4 linked regions of the Arabidopsis thaliana genome follow. The protein of the gene in region 1 purifies or fractionates together with the protein of each later gene. This does not show direct contact. Each region holds a gene or a part of one and is shown on either strand. Other genes may lie near its edges. The genes, in order: emb2444, AT1G11520, AT4G21660 and AT3G23325.

Region 1 (5,004 bases):
TAGTAAGGTGTTAATGTGGAATCATTTTGCAAAACCTATTTCTTCTACTAAACTCTTAAACCCTAAAGAGTAAAGACATTTGCACTACCCCGCGTGGTCGACGATTCGACGCTTCCAATGACGTCATCTCGCCTCTATCTCCGTTTCCTCCGCCGCTTCTCCACCGCCACCGGTATAGATTCTCAAACCACTGCTTACCCCGGCGCAATCACTATGTCCAAAGCTAAATCCAAACTCCGCAAAGTACAAGATCCAGACAAAGCCTTAGCGATTTACAAATCCGTCTCCAACAATTCCACATCTCCACTCTCCTCTCGTTACGCAATGGAGCTTACAGTCCAACGTCTCGCTAAATCTCAACGCTTCTCCGACATAGAAGCTCTAATTGAGTCTCACAAAAACAACCCAAAGATCAAAACAGAGACTTTTCTCTCTACACTTATCAGATCTTATGGACGAGCTTCAATGTTTGATCATGCTATGAAGATGTTCGAGGAGATGGATAAGCTTGGCACACCCAGAACCGTTGTTTCCTTCAATGCCTTACTCGCTGCTTGTCTTCATTCTGATTTGTTTGAAAGAGTCCCCCAACTGTTCGACGAATTTCCTCAGAGGTATAATAATATCACTCCTGATAAAATCTCTTACGGTATGTTGATTAAGTCGTATTGTGACTCTGGTAAGCCTGAAAAAGCTATGGAGATTATGAGAGATATGGAGGTTAAAGGTGTGGAAGTTACTATCATTGCTTTCACTACCATTTTAGGATCTTTGTATAAGAATGGTTTAGTCGATGAAGCGGAGAGCTTGTGGATTGAGATGGTGAACAAAGGTTGTGACTTGGATAACACAGTTTATAATGTTAGACTTATGAATGCTGCGAAGGAAAGTCCCGAGAGAGTTAAGGAATTGATGGAAGAAATGAGTAGTGTAGGATTGAAACCTGATACTGTTAGCTATAACTATCTTATGACTGCGTACTGCGTGAAAGGAATGATGAGTGAAGCCAAGAAAGTGTATGAAGGGCTTGAGCAACCAAACGCAGCGACGTTCAGGACATTGATATTTCATCTGTGTATAAACGGGTTGTATGATCAAGGTTTAACGGTGTTTAAGAAGAGCGCGATAGTGCACAAGATTCCGGATTTCAAAACTTGTAAGCATTTGACTGAAGGATTGGTGAAGAATAACAGAATGGAAGATGCAAGAGGAGTGGCCAGGATCGTGAAGAAGAAATTCCCTCCGCGTTTGGTGACCGAGTGGAAGAAACTAGAGGAGAAGCTGGGATTGTATTCAAAGGGTAATGCAGCTGCTGTTTCATCTTCTTCTCAAACTAGAGAAGTGTTAGATCAAGAAAGAGAGGATGATGTATAAAGCTCAAGAAGTTGCTTAGAAGATCTTATTTTTGTTTGTGCTTGCTTGCTTCAGCTAATATTATGGCTTGTGGAAACTGTGATCTAGCGTGTAGAAGACAAACGATTCCCAATTTACTTGTCTATGCTTTGAGCCAATTACTACGCTTGCGTTGAAAGTTAACCGTATTTTTTTGTTCTTTTCCCCCAGATCATCTGAACTATAGTCTGAATTGTGAAAATTTCATATCGTTTAACAATTTAGGTTTACAGTTATTTGTAAAACCAATTCCCAAAATGATTAGTAAAAAAAACTCAAAATCTCTAGACTCTAAATAGGCTAAATATCTTAATGGATATAAAAGAGCTTAATGGGCTTATAGGCCCATTAGAGACGGCACCACTCTAAATAAACCCCTCTTTCTTCACCGTCCGTTCTAACTTCTAGAAAAATCGCCAGAAGTGACGAAATTGAAAATCTCAGATTTCTCTTAATCGGCGACGGAGTAACGAAACAAGGAGAAGAAGAAGAAGAAGAAAATGACGACTCGAATCGCTCCTGGTGTTGGAGCTAATCTTCTCGGCCAACACTCCGCTGAGAGGAACCAAGACGCCACTGTTTACGTCGGTGGTCTCGATGCTCAGGTTTTTTAACTTTTAGGTTTCGTGAAATGATTCTGGATTTTCTCATCTTCCTCTGTGAGTTGGTGAAATTGATTTAAATTTCCTGTTTGAATCTCAGCTTTCTGAAGAATTGCTTTGGGAATTGTTCGTTCAAGCTGGACCTGTTGGTAAGTTCATATCTATATCTCCTTAAGTTTCTTCAATAGCTAATGGCTTTTGATTAGTGGAACAATGATATTGTTCTTGGCCTGTATCAGTTAATGTCTATGTACCGAAAGATAGAGTGACAAATCTTCATCAGAACTATGGATTCATTGAATATCGTAGTGAGGAAGATGCTGATTATGTAAGTGTTGCTCTTTTTCACTTACTGTGAGAAGTTAATAGACTTTTTTTTGTGTACAATGTTGAAGAGATTTCGATGTTTCTGTGCAGGCGATTAAGGTTCTTAACATGATTAAGCTCCACGGGAAGCCTATACGTGTTAACAAGGTATCGAATTGTTTCTGTAACTTACATTGTTTAGTATCGAGCGGATGGGTTTTGTGAGTTTTGATGCTGAGACTTGTTTAATCTATCTTCTATGAGTTTGCTAACATTTTGTTTGCTGGTTAAATTTGTATTAGGCATCTCAAGATAAGAAGAGCCTGGATGTTGGTGCTAACCTTTTCATTGGAAACCTTGACCCTGTAAGTATCTTTTGTGGTAGACTCTGATTTTGATACTCTACAAAGGTCATTTAATCTCTTAGCTGACCAGGTTTTGTTTTCTTTTATAGGATGTGGATGAGAAGCTCTTGTATGATACTTTCAGTGCATTTGGTGTGATTGCTTCTAATCCTAAGGTAGTATTTTTTATTTCATTAGATTGTAGTTCATGATTCTTGATCTCTTTATCTGTCTCCTGTCACCGATTCGATAGTAAATTAGGATTCATCGGTATTCCACTGTGGAGAATAAATGTTAGAAACTTTTCATTTCAGATAATGAGAGATCCCGATACTGGAAACTCACGAGGTTTTGGTTTCATCAGCTATGACTCCTTTGAAGCATCTGATGCTGCTATTGAGGTAATTATCTGCTTCTTTCATAACTCTCAGTTCTATGAACTTGCTTACGAAAAGGAGCCCAATATATTTCACACATTTAACTTCTCCGATTACCTAATCCAATGGTAGTATATTCCTCTGATCTTTGTCTGACTATTGCAGTCAATGACTGGACAATATCTCAGTAATCGTCAAATCACAGTCTCTTACGCATACAAGAAAGACACCAAAGGAGAGCGCCATGGTACTCCAGCAGGTTAGGCTCTACATACTCTTTCTCTTTTCTTAACTTATGGATTCAGTTTCTCTCCACCATTGGATCAATAACACATTACTGTTGTGAATTACAGAGAGGCTTTTGGCAGCCACAAATCCAACTGCCCAGAAAAGCAGACCCCATACGCTATTCGCAATGGGCCCTCCATCCAGTGCTCCTCAAGTTAATGGTCTACCACGTCCGTTTGCTAACGGCAGCATGCAACCTGTCCCGATTCCCGCTCCCCGTCAACCACCACCACCTCCTCCACAAGTATATCAAACTCAGCCACCATCCTGGCCATCTCAGCCACAACAACACAGCATGGTCCCACCACCCATGCAATTCCGTCCACCTCAGGGTATGCCTCCGCCACCACCTCCTCAGTTTCTAAATCACCAACAAGGTTTCGGTGGTCCGAGGCCGCCGCCACCACCTCAAGCCATGGGAATGCACCAACATGGAGGATGGCCACCGCAACACATGCAGCAGCAAGGTGGACCACCACAACAACAACAACCACCATACCAACACCATCACATGTCTATGCCTCCACCACCACCACACCAAGGTTGATAATAATCATCGCCTCAGTTTCGGACCAATTCAACTATATGTAAACCCTTTCTTTACTGGCAAGTAATCCCGAGGATTTTCCGTTTTAGATTCAATGAAACCTAATAGGGAGAGAGAGAAAGAGAAAGAGAGAGGGTGAGAGAGAGATCACAATTAATATTCTATATTGTCTTGTCTGCAGAGAATCTCTTATCTTCGGTTTAGAGAGAGAGAGAGCGTAGAAATTAGTGCCAATGTGTGTCTGGTTTTTAGTGATGTTATTTCTTGTTTGTGTTGCAGAATCTCTGATGCCGTGTGCTTTAATATTTACCAAAACTGTGCTGTAAAATCTCAATAATTTTACTTCTGACCTTTGAGGTTGCTTTTTACTCTAAACAAGAAAAAGACAGAGGAGTAATCAGTGATGGAACAGAGGTGGCTTGTTTTTCAAGTTATGGACCCATTCTCCAAACTTCAATAGTCTCTCTGACCATTTCATCTTGTGAATTCAGCTTCAGTCTTAAAAACCCTAAAAACACTGAAGATAGAGAGAGACGCATCTCTGTATATGTTTTGTTGTCTGAGAAAAGTAAAGGACAAATATTCAATTTTAATTAAACTTTTTGTCTCTTATCGATTTCAATCATTTGTCACTTCGTTTGCTGACTCGAAATAGTCCACATCGACCGCCCAAGTGTCATCTACTAAGCATTTAGATATCGTAAAAGTGAACATCTGTTCCTATCTAAGCCAATAAGCCATCTTGTATTGGTGTAAATTGTGAAACCCACAGTTCTACTACATTTCTTGGGTTGGTTCAAACTATCTACGTATACATTTTTGTAGTCACTTTGTGAAATAAATCGTGGAGTTGGAATTTATTTACAGTAGCTGCCATTGGTATTAATATTTAAGATTTTACTTTTTAAAATAAAATAAATTAACAAACGAATGTACAAATCTATTTCCATAATTTTCGCAGCAAATCTTTCCAAACAACCAAATATTTAATGTGATTACAATTACTAACTCACAAATATTCCATTCCGTGATTTTTCCACAGAAAATATTGTTATTAACGAATTTATAGAAAATATTAATTACTGGTATAATCATTATGGTAGCATATTCCAAATAAAATCCGATTCAATATATTTTGCTCCATTTAG
Region 2 (3,024 bases), on another chromosome or scaffold:
TGAGGGAGTAGCTGCAATGGTGCTTCTGTTTATTGTCCATGTCCTAGCTAATGTGCTTGGAGGCTGCACTTACATTCGCTCTAAGCAAGATTTCAAAAGAGCAACGGCGAACAAGATACTCGCTGTGGCTTTCCTTGTTCTCTCCTGGTAATGGAAAAGATAATAGGTTTTTGGATTTCATTCAAAAGACAAATTTGAATTATGTCAGCTGTTTTTGTTTTTGACATACCTTTGTTTGTCTTAGGATCTTTTTTGTTGTCAGCTACTCAACGCTAATGATAGGAACATTAGCCAACTCGAGAACGAATCGACTCTGCAGCTTGCCACATCGTTGGTTTTTTCTTATTGGAGGCATATTTTGTCTAGGACATGGAGTGGTGACTTCAGCATATTATGTTTCAGCAATTGCTGCTAAAAAAGAAGACAAAGAGAATGCGCAACAAGAAAATCTAGCAAATAGAAGCCGCGCATAACACGTCTTCTTCATCAAGATACACAAAATGTTTCATCTGTAAATAAACTTAAATTGCTTCAAAAAAGCTTCCTTCCATTTTGATAAATCCGCAATATTCCAAAATAAACTCTTTCAAGAATCAATAGAAAACTAAAATATAATATAAAAAAGCCAAGAGTTCTAAACAAAAGAGGCAGAACCAAAAAAACAAAAACCATAAATATATCTAAGCGTTTGATCCAAATGCTTCAGATATCTTTGATAGCACTTCAAAAAGAAAACCATGCTTCTGCAAAAAGAACTCAAATTCCCTAGCCTGCATCGCTTTCCACTGCTCGTAAAATCTCTTCATATCCTTTGAGGCAAGCTTACTCAATCCTTGTTGAGCAGTAAGTTCATCCATGCCAAGACCCACTATCGATCTAACAAGAGAAGACTTTGTAAAAGAGACTTCTCCTTCATCCATCACCTCATCTTCACAGTTGTTTTTACTGTTGGGCAAAGAAGAATCAAGTTCATGCTTCACAGACTCAAACTTACTACTCTTCTTCGACTTCTCATTAGATTTCATACCAGATGCAAGAGCCATTCTAATACCTCCCCAAACTAACTTAGACAATTCAAAAGCCTTGCGATCATGAGGTTTGACGAAAGTAGGTTCAACACCATCCTTGGCTTTACCAAGATTGTTCTCATACTTCTTCTTTAAAGCCCTAAGCTTTTCCATAAGCTGATTCTTACTAACATCAAAACTAATAGATTTTTTCACCAACTCATAAACCTTATTCGTATTACTTACCCCTGTATCTTTTTTGTCATCAATCAGACCTTGTAAAACCACAATCTCATCATCTTCAGTCCAAAGTCGCTGGAAATAAGTTTTCTTCGTCTCTTCTCCTCCGCCACCACTCTTCTTCTTCTCCTCTTCCCCTGAAACCTTCTTAGCCCTCTTCACATCCATAGACACTGCTGCTTCATCCACTTCAAGAGAACGTTTAGCCCCAGATTTCTCGGAGGTTTTCACCTTCTTAGCCCTCTTCACATCCACAGGATTCGTCACAACTTGATCTTTCTTCTTCTCGAGTTCAGAGTCTGAATCGGTTTCTTCATCCGAACCAGATTCGGAATCGGAAACGGCGTCGAGAGTCGTCTTCAAAGGTGATGGGTTTTCAGAGGAAACGTCATCTTCATCATCCGAAGAAGAGTTTCGTGCGATTTCTTTACCTTCTTCGTCGCTTGAAGAAGCACTCGGCGGATCTTCTAACGGATTGAAACGTCTCGACATTGTTTTAGGGTTTATGGGACTTTGGAGAGACTTAAGAGGTTGAAATTGAGATTTTTGCTTTGCTGCCTTCACCACTTCGTTCTTAGGGTTTATATATATTGAACAAAGTGTCTCTCTGTTTTCCAAAAATAAATAATCAAAAAATTATTGGAAAACGTATAAAATTATTTATTGTTTTTCCTCTTTTTTTGCATGACGTTTAGATTTCCGATTTCCTTCCTTAAAAATTTGGAAATTAGCTATATTGACCAATTTTATTTCCCTATATTTTATCTCTTACAAATAAATGTTAGATCTCTCTTTTCACAACAACACCCGAATATGACCGCTCATTCAATCGTCGCACACGTTGATAGCGTCCTTCCCAAGAAATCTCGTGAGATCGACCGTCGCCGCCGCAGACGGAAGCGGAAGAAGAAGAACAAAGCATCTCAGGCCGATGTAGATGCAATGGACGTGTCAAAATCTCTGTCAAGCACTCCTACTGGTATTGAGACACCGGATGCAATTGAACTTCGTAAGGAACAGAGAAAGGAACCTGATAGGGCTCTATACCAGGTACTTGAAGAAAAGGGAGAGAGTGTTGTTGCTCCTGGAACATTGCTGAGAACTACACACACATACGTTATTAAGACTGGTACTCAGGACAAGACGGGAACCAAAAGGGTTGATTTGCTGAGAGGGCAAAAGACAGATAGAGTGGATTTCAGTTTACAGCCAGAAGAGCTGGATGCTATGGGAAATGTTTTACAGTATGAGGAGGCAAGAGAAGAGGAGAAATAGCGCAATAAGCCAGTGGACTTGAGTGACATGGTCGTCGAGCATGTGTAGCAGAATAGTAGGAAGAGGAAAATGCATGGCAAGGAAGAGAAGAAAAAGAAAGATTTCAACTTCTGAGGTGCGTTATGGAAGAGACAAAAAAAAAAAGATTTTAGATTCTGGACATGAGACATAGAAAGAGATTCATGTTCCAGAATTATTAGTCTTGAGTAAGAGATCTTGAGTTTTTAGTCTTAATGCTTATTAAAAAAAAAAAAAAATGTTAGACCACCAATGATGTAAATTTTTAAATAGGTGATTGCATCATTGTGTAAACCTAATATTTACATTTTGAAGGATTTGGTCTTTCTGCAGTATGTAAGTTAATTCAATCCCCTTATTATTCTGACTTGTAAGGGGATTCAAACCCCATCAATGGTTTCTAAACTTAAGTTTCTTATTTTAGAGAGATAAGTTTTATTATAAAAAAATGTGTGGGTTTTTTGATTAATGAAGAAACCATCTC
Region 3 (6,200 bases), on another chromosome or scaffold:
CATACTTTCTTTTCTCCTTCTCCTTCTTAAAGTTTACAGATCAATGGATGTCTATTGTCTCATCTCAAAATTGGTTCATCAAAATCTAAACTTTTTGTTGTCCCTTGGCCAGAATTGATAGATTGATCACCAGTCCACACTAGTTTATGAATTGGATCCGAGTTTTTTTCTTTAGCAAGAATCAGGAAAACAAAAGGAAGATTTTTGATAAATGGGTAAATAAGAGAAAGAATGAAAATTTAGTGTTTGTTCCTTAAGATTTTGTTCCCTTTGAATATAGATCTGTAAAATACCGATGATGAATCCACAAAAAAAAACCCTAGTTTCTTTCTTCTTCCTTGGTTGATGATGAGTTTGTTTGTGTATCTGGGAAAAGTTTATTAGGTTTTGTGGCGTTCTAAAAATCGAGAGAAACCCTAGATCCAGATAACGAAGAGTCAAGATTGTGAATACGGCATTATGCCTTTGTCCTTGGTTTTTTTAAGGGAAAACAAAACACGAAGGGCCCCTTCATTTTCTTTAACCGTTCTTTTTTTTATTTATGTCTTATTTTAAAAACAATTAATACTATTTTTAAAAATTAATAAAAGCCTGAAATAGTTTTTATCAGCTCAAAACCTGTCAAATTCTGTTTTTTTTTCGATTCATACCGTACTTGTAATGTACTTTTATACTTGTGTTTCTGATCTCATGTTTTGATTTTTACAGTGTCAAGGATTCATATACCACAAGATATTTATAGTTCATCTAATTCTTTTTTTTTAGAAGATTATTTATTCAAAAGACATGATATTTTTGACATATACTTGTCTCTTTATTTGTGAAATATTTTTTATCTACCAAGCATGAATATTTTTTCACATATATCTTTCCCCTACTCTTTTCAATCTTTTCCTTATAAAATAATAGTTTAGTAAATAAAAAATGATTTATTTTGTTTTCTAAAATACACAACTACGTAAAGATAATTTTTTTTTATAGACAGTATTTTTTTCCTTGTTTAAAAATAACCGTTACGTACAAAAGCCGTTACAAAATTCTTTCCTAATGTCTTTTTTTTCCGTGTTCTTTCCTAATGTCTTATGAAAACAATTTTGAAACTAAAAAGGCACAATGTATATTGTTCTAATTGCATAATAAACAACCGATAACATACACCGGGAGTCGTGCTCACATTAATAAAATCTCAAAGTGAATAAAAATTACCTCAATTCATGTAAAAACTAAATTTTTACGAATAATAAACTAAAACATTTAAATTTTATTAAAAGTTTTGTTGTTAGTCAGAGAATTTTATTTAAATCTCAAATACCCACATATATACAATTTTGATACTTATAACTTTCTTCAAAATTTCAAGACATTGTGTAAACTGTAATTTTATAATTTTAAAAGTTCAATAGAACATTTTTACGAATAATGTAGAGTTAACTCGTGCCAACATTTATAGTAGTGTTTGAATATTGTTCCATACATTTCCTTTGAAATTTTCTATTAGTTACTAGTAGATGGTCTTCTACAAAACAATTCTTACACTCGAAGAAAAATATAAAGTGTTGGGCCTATTGGCAGATATATTCGTCTTCTACTTATATGGGCCTTATGCCAAACCGGAAATAGAATCAGAGAGAATTTCAGCAAACCGACTCTTGTTCATATACGTATATCCTCGATTTCCGTCGTTCTTCCTTCTCCTCTCAATCTCTCTTTTCACATCACCGATTCAGAGAGAACACCGAATATGACCGCCGATTCAACCGTCGCACTCGTTCATAGCGTCGTTTCTAACGGTGATGTCTCCAACGGAAACACCTCCGCTTCCTCTAAGAAATCTCGTGAGATTGACCGTCGCCGCCGCAGACGGAAGCAGAAGAAGAACAACAAAGCATCCCAAGCCGATGTAGATGCATCGGACGTTTCTGCTGCTTCTGAATCCAAAGAGAATACAGATCCCCAGCCACAGGTTAACTTTGTGCTCATCTTCTCGTACTCGATTCATGGAGAGGTGTTCTAGGGTTTTTCTTAGGGTTTGTGATTGTTTATCGTTTGCTGATGATTTTTGGTATATGTTTCTCTTTGATAGGTTTGTGAGCAGATTGTGATAGAGTATGTTCCAGAGCAAGCTGAATTTGAAGATGGTTTTAACGATGAGTTTAAGGAAATCTTCGAGAAGTTCAACTTCCGCGAACCTCTTGCCTCTGAAGAAGACGGTACGAAAGATGAGTCTGAGGAGAAAGAAGATGTCAAAAAGAAGGTTAACTCTGATTCTGATTCAGACGACGACGAGCAGGATAATCAGAACAAAGAGAAAGGCATCTCTAATAAGAAGAAAAAGGTATAGCTCAAACCTTATTATTACCTCTCAATTTGTTTTATTGCATTCTTTAGATTCTGAATATTCTGAATTTCTGTTTCCTCAGCTTCAACGGAGAATGAAGATTGCTGAGCTGAAGCAGGTTTCCGCTAGGCCTGATGTTGTTGAGGTATGGATGCTTCTCTATTGTGTTCATAGTACCAAGGTTTATCTCGTTGTGTAGATATCTATTGTATATTCATAAGTTCTGTTTTACAATTTTCAGGTCTGGGACGCGACTTCAGCAGATCCAAAGCTGTTAGTGTTTTTGAAGTCGTACCGGAATACAGTTCCTGTTCCAAGACATTGGTCGCAGAAGAGAAAATATTTGCAGGTTTGTGATAATTCTAGTAATGTACTGTAGTTAACTATATGTTTCTGTGATTTGTGGGTGTGGTACTGGTACATAGGGGAATTATATCAAGAGGGATAGAAACGTCTGTGATAACCATGTCAATTAAGTTTCCTTATACCTATATATGCTTCTTGCAGGAGAACATCTGTGATAACCATGGAGCCTGGACTTGTAGGTGTAACCGGAGAGGACTCTTAATTTTTTTTTTCTGTCTATATATGAAATCTGTGGTGCTTAGGTTTTGGAGTAAACTGTTTAATGAATCAGTTTGGGATATTCCCTTTCTGAAACTGTATTTTGTTTTCGTATGCATGATAGTGATCTTGCTTTTAGATGCATCTGTTTTTGTAGTACTTTTATACTGCTTTTTCTTTCTTTTTATAAGTTGGTGGCATCTCAGCGGGGTTTCATTTTTGCAGGGAAAGCGTGGGATAGAGAAGCAGCCATTTCATCTTCCTGATTTCATTGCTGCAACCGGAATTGAGAAGATTAGACAGGTAAAAGTTATTCTCTATCAATATAAGGTGCAAGTCGCTAAATGCTTCTACTGTCAGCTAATTCTTGTGTGGTTCTTATGTAGGCTTACATTGAGAAAGAAGATGGTAAGAAATTGAAGCAAAAGCAACGGGAGAGAATGCAACCAAAAATGGGAAAGATGGACATTGACTACCAGGTTTCTATTTTTTTTAATCTTTGTTTTGTGATGAGTATTTGCTGATATCTGTTCTATAACTGACAAGTGAAGCTATTCTTTCCTTTCTCAGGTACTTCATGATGCATTTTTCAAATACCAAACAAAGCCTAAGCTGTCAGCTCTAGGCGATTTGTATTTTGAAGGGAAAGAATTTGAGGTAATTCCTTGTGACATGTTTTTTCAGCTTTATCTATAATTACATTGCTTGGTTTCATTGGTTTGTTTACCTAAAATCTAATTACTATCATTTGGGAAATAGGTTAAACTGAGGGAAACGAAACCAGGGTTTTTGTCAAACGACTTAAAAGAAGCTCTTGGTATGCCTGAAGGCGCTCCTCCCCCATGGCTGATTAACATGCAGGTGAGTTTATTGTGACTTATCTTTTTAATTATTCTGATTGGAATCGAGTTGTTCACCTTTAATCTCTTCTTTGACAGAGATATGGTCCGCCTCCTTCTTACCCACATCTGAAAATTCCTGGTTTGAATGCTCCTATTCCAATTGGAGCTAGCTTTGGTTTTCATGCTGGCGGCTGGGGGAAACCTCCAGTTGACGAAGTAAGCATTTTTTTTTATCTACATTCTTCTTTTTTATTATTTCTATGCCATCTACTAACTTTTATTTTTTTCCCGTTCTTATCGTTTGTGTTACATAGTATGGGCGTCCATTGTATGGAGATGTTTTTGGTGTCCAGCAACAAGATCAGCCTAACTACGAGGTAACTGTTTTCATCTCTCTCTGTTATTCTCCTTAGTAATTGCATATTGTGCTACGAGGTAGATACCACAAAATACAAAGTAAAAGCGTCCTATTGAATATTTAGAGATCATACAATTTGGTGATAGAGTATGACGGTTGTATTTTATCATTATCTTAGGAGGAGCCAATTGATAAGAGCAAGCACTGGGGTGATTTAGAGGAAGAGGAAGAAGAAGAGGAGGAGGAAGAAGAGGAACAAGAAGAGGAGATGGATGAAGAGGAACTAGAAGACGGCACTGAATCTGTTGATACACTGTCAAGGTATTGTTATCATTATGCATTTATGAGGTGTATACTATTTATTTGTTTCCTTATCAGTATAATCTAAGTATAAAGCTGATTTGTGATTTTCCCCTTCTTTCAGCACTCCTACTGGTATAGAGACACCGGATGCAATTGAACTTCGTAAGGATCAGAGAAAGGAACCTGATAGGGCTCTATACCAGGTTTGAAACCTAATTTTGATGATCTTACACGCCTTGTAGGCTTTTCTATTAGTTTGATATAAACCAATAATTCACTGTTTCTGGTCGTTAATGCCTTTTTTTTTTTGACTTGTGAAGGTACTCGAGGAAAAGGGAGAGAGTGTTGCTCCTGGAACATTGCTGGGAACCTCACACACATACGTTATTAAGACTGGTACTCAAGAAAAGACGGGAGCCAAAAGGGTAAGCAGTCTGTTGTTACATGCTCAGAGATTTGTTGTTTTGCTTGATGACAAGTGGGCTAACGTATGCAATTGTGTCAAATTGAGCAGGTTGATTTGCTGAGAGGGCAGAAGACAGACAGAGTGGATGTCAGCTTACAGCCAGAAGAGCTGGATGCTATGGAAAATGTTTTACCTGCCAAGTATGAGGAGGCAAGAGAAGAGGAGAAATTGCGCAATAAGCCAGTGGACTTGAGTGACATGGTCGTCGAGGTAATGACTTTCTTTATATTTATATCTCTATTTTTTTCAACACTATTGATATGAATGCGGATGAATAATCAAACGTTTACTTGGTGGAATGTTTAACAGCATGTGCAGCAGAATAGTAGGAAGAGGAAAATGCATGACAAGGAAGGGAAGAAGAAGAAAGATTTCAAATTCTGAGGTGTTCTGGAAGAGACACGGAAAAGGATTCTGGATTCTGGACATGAGAGAGATAGGGAGAGATTCTTGTTCCAGAGTTATTAGTCTTTGAGTCAGAGATCTTGAGTTTTAGTCTTAATGCTTATGAGATTCTATACTATGTTGTTATCTGAAGGCTTAAGTAAAACTTTGTTTTTGGAATTTGAACAAATTCAAAGCCTGAGACTTGGAACAAAAAAAGTGGGGAAAAAAGGCTTTGTTTTGTAAGCGACGTCTTGTTTTTCAAATTGTCCGAGTACTTTCAGCGTTTATGGTTTTTAAAAGATTGATCATTCGGTCTACAGAATAAACCGTCGATGTGATCTATTTCAGTGCACCTTGTTATCTTTAAGCGAGGCAAAAATATGTACATTTTCACGACATTCGCTCCTGAAACCAAATTATGTTCATATGTTACTGTCATATGCATAGTGTGAACTAATTCATAGGCATGATCCTTGGGTTGTTCAATCCCTGCATGTGATGAAAAAAACTTAACATACTGTGGATTTTTTCAATGATGTATTCTATTACTTTTCCAATATTAGGCGACAAATGATTCGACCACACCTCATTCCGGGAGAGTAATGAAACAGCGACAAATGGCCAATTATGCCACTCATTGTCCTACCGGGCTACCACCATTCTTCACCTTTCTTTCAACATTATCATGAGCATGATGACTCGTAGAGTCGTAGGGTTCCTAAATCGCCTTTCTTCACCTTTCTTTCAACATTATCTATTTATCTTCTTTTCAAATCTCGCTTATTAATCATTATACATAGGCCTCTACATGGTAGACACATTTAGAAACAACAAGAAGTCTCTCCAAATATGAATGGTTATTCAGCCTACAAGCGATGTCAGAATTTTTTTAACACGTAGTTAAAAGTTTAACTTTGCTAGACAAATGAAATCTAAGATTAA
Region 4 (3,807 bases), on another chromosome or scaffold:
CCAAGAAGCTTAGCATACATATTCATAAGCGCATTACCAGTATACAAATCACAATCCATACCAAGCCTAACAATAAACCCATGAACAGACTCACCAAATCTCAAATCCATCATCATCGTACACGATTTCAAAACAGAAGGAAACACATTGTGATCTGGGCATCTCCCAGAAGCTCGCATTTCCACAAACGAAGCTAACGCCTTGGAGAATAGAGACTGGTCGGTGAAGCATCTGATTACTGACTTCCATGCTAGAACAGGAGGAGACTTAAGGGTTTTGAAAAGAAGCAAAGCTTCGTGCAAAAGTTTAAGGTTTGTGTAGATTGAGATTACGATTGAAGCTGATGTATGAGAGAGTGATTGAGTTCTGATGAATTGTGCGTGAAGCTGCTTCGCTTGAGATTTGGATTTGATTCGAGTTGGATTCTTAATCAGGGTTTTGATTAGGGCTTTTGATGAACTCATCTTTGTCTCCTTCTCAGAGATTCACCATTAGCAAACATAAAGGTTTGATTTTTATTTTCGTCATTCATTTAAATACTCCAACTTTTAACCTCTTTTTTTTATGACTTGTTCAATTCAATTCTTTTGCAATAGTTGTTCGAGTAGCAAAAAGACTTTGAGTTTGACAATTGTATCAAGACTATAACAAAGTACAAATGTTTAGATCATGATCAACAACTGCATTATGAACTAGAAACAAGAAGAAGCCTTTTCGGCAATTACATTGGTGGAGCAGTTAAAGAAGATTGCACACAAGCTTCTAAGAAGTAGAATGTTTTTTTTAATTTCAAATGCACACAAGCTCTTACTCGTCTTCTCTTTCTGGAGGAAGGCCGCAAGGTAAGAGCATTTTCTGCAAAAAAAAAATCAAAGAAGTTTGGAGTTAGTAAAAGCTATTAGCAAAAATGCAAAGTCATTGACTCTTGAGTGTAGAAGAACCAGAAGATAACAGTTTGAAACAACCCTCAAGATTGGTAGTTTCCTGCTAACTTACGATATGATACAATCTGTTTTTGACAAATACAGGGTAAGGGTTAAAAGAGTTTCATGCTGCTCCCCTTTCCGGTTGCAGAGGCCAAGTAAATATCTTTGAGGAAGTTCCATTCTCCATTCTTAAGGGTAAGGAGTTGTTGCTGATATCAGAAGGAGGAATGTTGAAAAACTAGAATTATAGCAGGTTTTCTTGAGGCCCACAAGTTCCTTGAAGAGAAAGATATTTACTGGCTTCTCCAAGCTAAAGAGGGGAGCAGCAGGAACACTTTACCCTGTTTGAAACAACCCTAATTGTTCCTCTCCCTTAAGACACTAACACATTAACATTCTCAATATGATTCCTTGACATGATGCAAGAAGAAAGATAGTAAACAAACCTGCATGAAGTTGTAACGTTCTCGACCAATAGATTCGTTCTCAGCTATTGCAAAGTAAGAAAGCATCGGGTAGTGACCAATGTATGAAGCATAACTATCACGCTGAATGTTCACAGTCCATTCACTAACACAAAAACATTCAAAATTTTCAATAAGTTCACAATTTTGGAATCCTGAAAAATCCAAACAAAAAGTGAAAAATACTTACAATCTGCTCAAATCTGCATGACCTGTACCAACATACTTAGCTTGAAGATGCTCAAGCTGAGAATTTATGTTAAACCTATCACTTGCCTGCACAAAAACAAAAAAGTGAGATTACATAACTATCTGCTGCTTAAAAACCTAACCTTTACAAGAACTAAAGCAAATTGTTCCCAGATTTCAGCTACGCTTAGCTTAATCGTCAAGAAATTGTATAAAATTAGAGATAAGAACAAAAAAAAGTAACTAGGGTTTCGAATCGAGAGAGACAAACCTGCATCTTTCAGACTTCAGCGAGTTCGCAAGAAGAAGAATACAACTTCTGCTTCACTTTAATTAGGTTTATATATGTTTCACTGAGAAATTGATTGGGCTTTGAGAATGGGTCTGGCCCAAATCCATTACTAATAAATTTTTAATACGTGGCTATTATTATGAGAACCGGTACAAAAGAAAACCAAACCAGAACCGGACATTTCAATCAAACCAAATCATTAACTTTTAAATTTGGGATAAAAAAAACGTGAACTTCCGAAATGCCGCTAAAATTATAAAATTTCGTCTGACTTTTGATAAAATGATTAAGTTTCGTTGACTTTACTATTTTGGGCATGTCGTTAAATTTCCGTTAACAACAAAATAACGGAGTTAACTTTTCGTTAACATTTTCCGTTAGAAGCGAAACGACGTCGTTTCAAAATAAAAATATATTAAAATTTGCGCCAAGAATGGATTGAACTCGTGAACCTCCTAAATTATCACAAGCGCTCAACCAATATGCTATGATAACATTTCGATATTAATGAAAACTGATATATATATATATACGCAAAACTAATTAAAAACCGAACTATTTTTTTTTTTTTTCCTTCCAATAACTTTATTAATTCACGTGTTCAGCATCTTTGTTTACAAACGACATTAGAAATCTAGGACAAAAATGATATAGAGTATGATTTATATGATTAGCTACTGCTTTTTTCGCCAGAACATCAACACAAACGTTTTGTTCCCGGTGTCGAAATGTGAACTTCACAGTGGTGAAAGCTTTGCTCCATTGTTGAATGAATTCCAAATAGTATCGAAGTCGTGGATTAGTTTCTTTGTTTCGAATAAGGCGATTAACTGTGATGTTGTCGCCTTCAAATTCTACTCTCCTATATCCCAAATCCCAAGCGCATTGTATTGCCCATATGAGGGCAGTGCATTCAGCTTCCTTTATTGTTTGTCGACCCTGAAATTTCCCGCAGCCGCAGTCCAAACAGGTTCCTTGTGAGTTTCGAATAATCCATCTGAGGCCTGAGTCTTGTCTTCCCGCATGGTTAGAGACATCATAATTGCATTTGACCCATTCTGCTCCTGGTTTTTGCCATTTGTCCGTTCTTGAGGACTTGGTTTGGCCCCCTTTGACGTTGTCATCATTTTTATGCTTAACATCCAGCCATTCTTTCGTGTCCATTATCGCTTGGTTTATCACATCAGCGACAGCGATTGCTTTTTTGTTGAAGACTAAATCATTCCGGCTCTTCCAAATCCTCCATATTAACCAAAATGGCAAATAAAAATATTAAAAATGATGTAAATTATAAAAATGCACCTACCAAATAAAAACCGAACTATAAAAACAATAACTAAACATGTAAAAATATTAAATACACCTACCATTAATATATATTCTCAAATAACAATGTAAATTTTTTTATTAAACGTATTGAATTAAAAAAAAATTCTCTTAAATTATATAAAAATCAAACTTGTGAAATATAACACCTATAAATATATTACCAAAAAATAACTTTTTATATACTTTCCATCTAATTATGAATAAAAAAATTGATTTGAAGACGGAATAATGATCTTATATTTTTCTTTTATTAAATATTTATCAAATTAATTTATAAAATATATGTTTTATTATAAATAAAATTATATATAAAGTGAAGTTGAATGAAATTCTATGTGCATGTATAGATTAATCCTATATTCATATGAGAAGGATTGTGTAAATTTTAGGTAATTTTCTATATTATTGATTTATTTTAGTTGGTTATTTTTAATTAGTTACGTATATATATATATATATGTATATGTTTACTATACTTCTAAAAAGTTAACGTGGCTCAATGGTTTTAGTCCTTCAATAGCACCTAAAAGGTCACCAGTTCAACTCTACTTGGTGTTTGTTTTTTGTTTTTTTCTTTAATTTCAAAACGACGTCGTTTCGCTTTTAA

What was found.
Region 2: the proteins of emb2444 (region 1) and AT1G11520 fractionate together in Arabidopsis thaliana (co-fractionation; one large-scale study listed by BioGRID). This does not show direct contact.
Region 3: the proteins of emb2444 (region 1) and AT4G21660 fractionate together in Arabidopsis thaliana (co-fractionation; one large-scale study listed by BioGRID). This does not show direct contact.
Region 4: the proteins of emb2444 (region 1) and AT3G23325 fractionate together in Arabidopsis thaliana (co-fractionation; one large-scale study listed by BioGRID). This does not show direct contact.

Annotation. Positions count from the first base shown.
Region 1 is NC_003071.7:8,030,406-8,035,409, reverse strand, and holds emb2444 (RNA-binding (RRM/RBD/RNP motifs) family protein), read left to right. Parts: upstream 1-1,790; 5' UTR 1,791-1,892; coding exon 1,893-1,997; intron 1,998-2,094; coding exon 2,095-2,143; intron 2,144-2,233; coding exon 2,234-2,322; intron 2,323-2,411; coding exon 2,412-2,468; intron 2,469-2,602; coding exon 2,603-2,665; intron 2,666-2,754; coding exon 2,755-2,820; intron 2,821-2,958; coding exon 2,959-3,045; intron 3,046-3,186; coding exon 3,187-3,280; intron 3,281-3,374; coding exon 3,375-3,856; 3' UTR 3,857-4,450; downstream 4,451-5,004. Other genes in the region: AT2G18520 (Tetratricopeptide repeat (TPR)-like superfamily protein), read left to right, coding at 118-1,374.
Region 2 is NC_003070.9:3,871,098-3,874,121, forward strand, and holds AT1G11520 (pliceosome associated protein-like protein), read left to right. Parts: upstream 1-1,931; coding exon 1,932-2,522; downstream 2,523-3,024. Other genes in the region: AT1G11500 (transmembrane protein, putative (DUF1218)), read left to right, coding at 1-147, 245-473; AT1G11510 (DNA-binding storekeeper protein-related transcriptional regulator), read right to left, coding at 681-1,739.
Region 3 is NC_003075.7:11,505,314-11,511,513, reverse strand, and holds AT4G21660 (proline-rich spliceosome-associated (PSP) family protein), read left to right. Parts: upstream 1-1,606; 5' UTR 1,607-1,741; coding exon 1,742-1,963; intron 1,964-2,083; coding exon 2,084-2,335; intron 2,336-2,420; coding exon 2,421-2,483; intron 2,484-2,579; coding exon 2,580-2,687; intron 2,688-2,763; coding exon of another isoform or gene 2,764-2,805; intron 2,806-2,845; coding exon 2,846-3,205; intron 3,206-3,288; coding exon 3,289-3,381; intron 3,382-3,472; coding exon 3,473-3,559; intron 3,560-3,661; coding exon 3,662-3,763; intron 3,764-3,840; coding exon 3,841-3,960; intron 3,961-4,058; coding exon 4,059-4,121; intron 4,122-4,280; coding exon 4,281-4,423; intron 4,424-4,526; coding exon 4,527-4,608; intron 4,609-4,725; coding exon 4,726-4,830; intron 4,831-4,919; coding exon 4,920-5,081; intron 5,082-5,180; coding exon 5,181-5,255; 3' UTR 5,256-5,691; downstream 5,692-6,200. Other genes in the region: CPL1 (C-terminal domain phosphatase-like 1), read right to left, coding at 1-3.
Region 4 is NC_003074.8:8,343,857-8,347,663, reverse strand, and holds AT3G23325 (Splicing factor 3B subunit 5/RDS3 complex subunit 10), read right to left. Parts: upstream 1,895-3,807; 5' UTR 1,857-1,894; coding exon 1,851-1,856; intron 1,667-1,850; coding exon 1,581-1,666; intron 1,497-1,580; coding exon 1,373-1,496; intron 1,298-1,372; exon of another isoform or gene 1,008-1,297; intron 856-1,007; coding exon 808-855; 3' UTR 522-807; downstream 1-521. Other genes in the region: AT3G23330 (Tetratricopeptide repeat (TPR)-like superfamily protein), read right to left, coding at 1-464; AT3G23320 (Polynucleotidyl transferase, ribonuclease H-like superfamily protein), read right to left, coding at 2,460-3,035.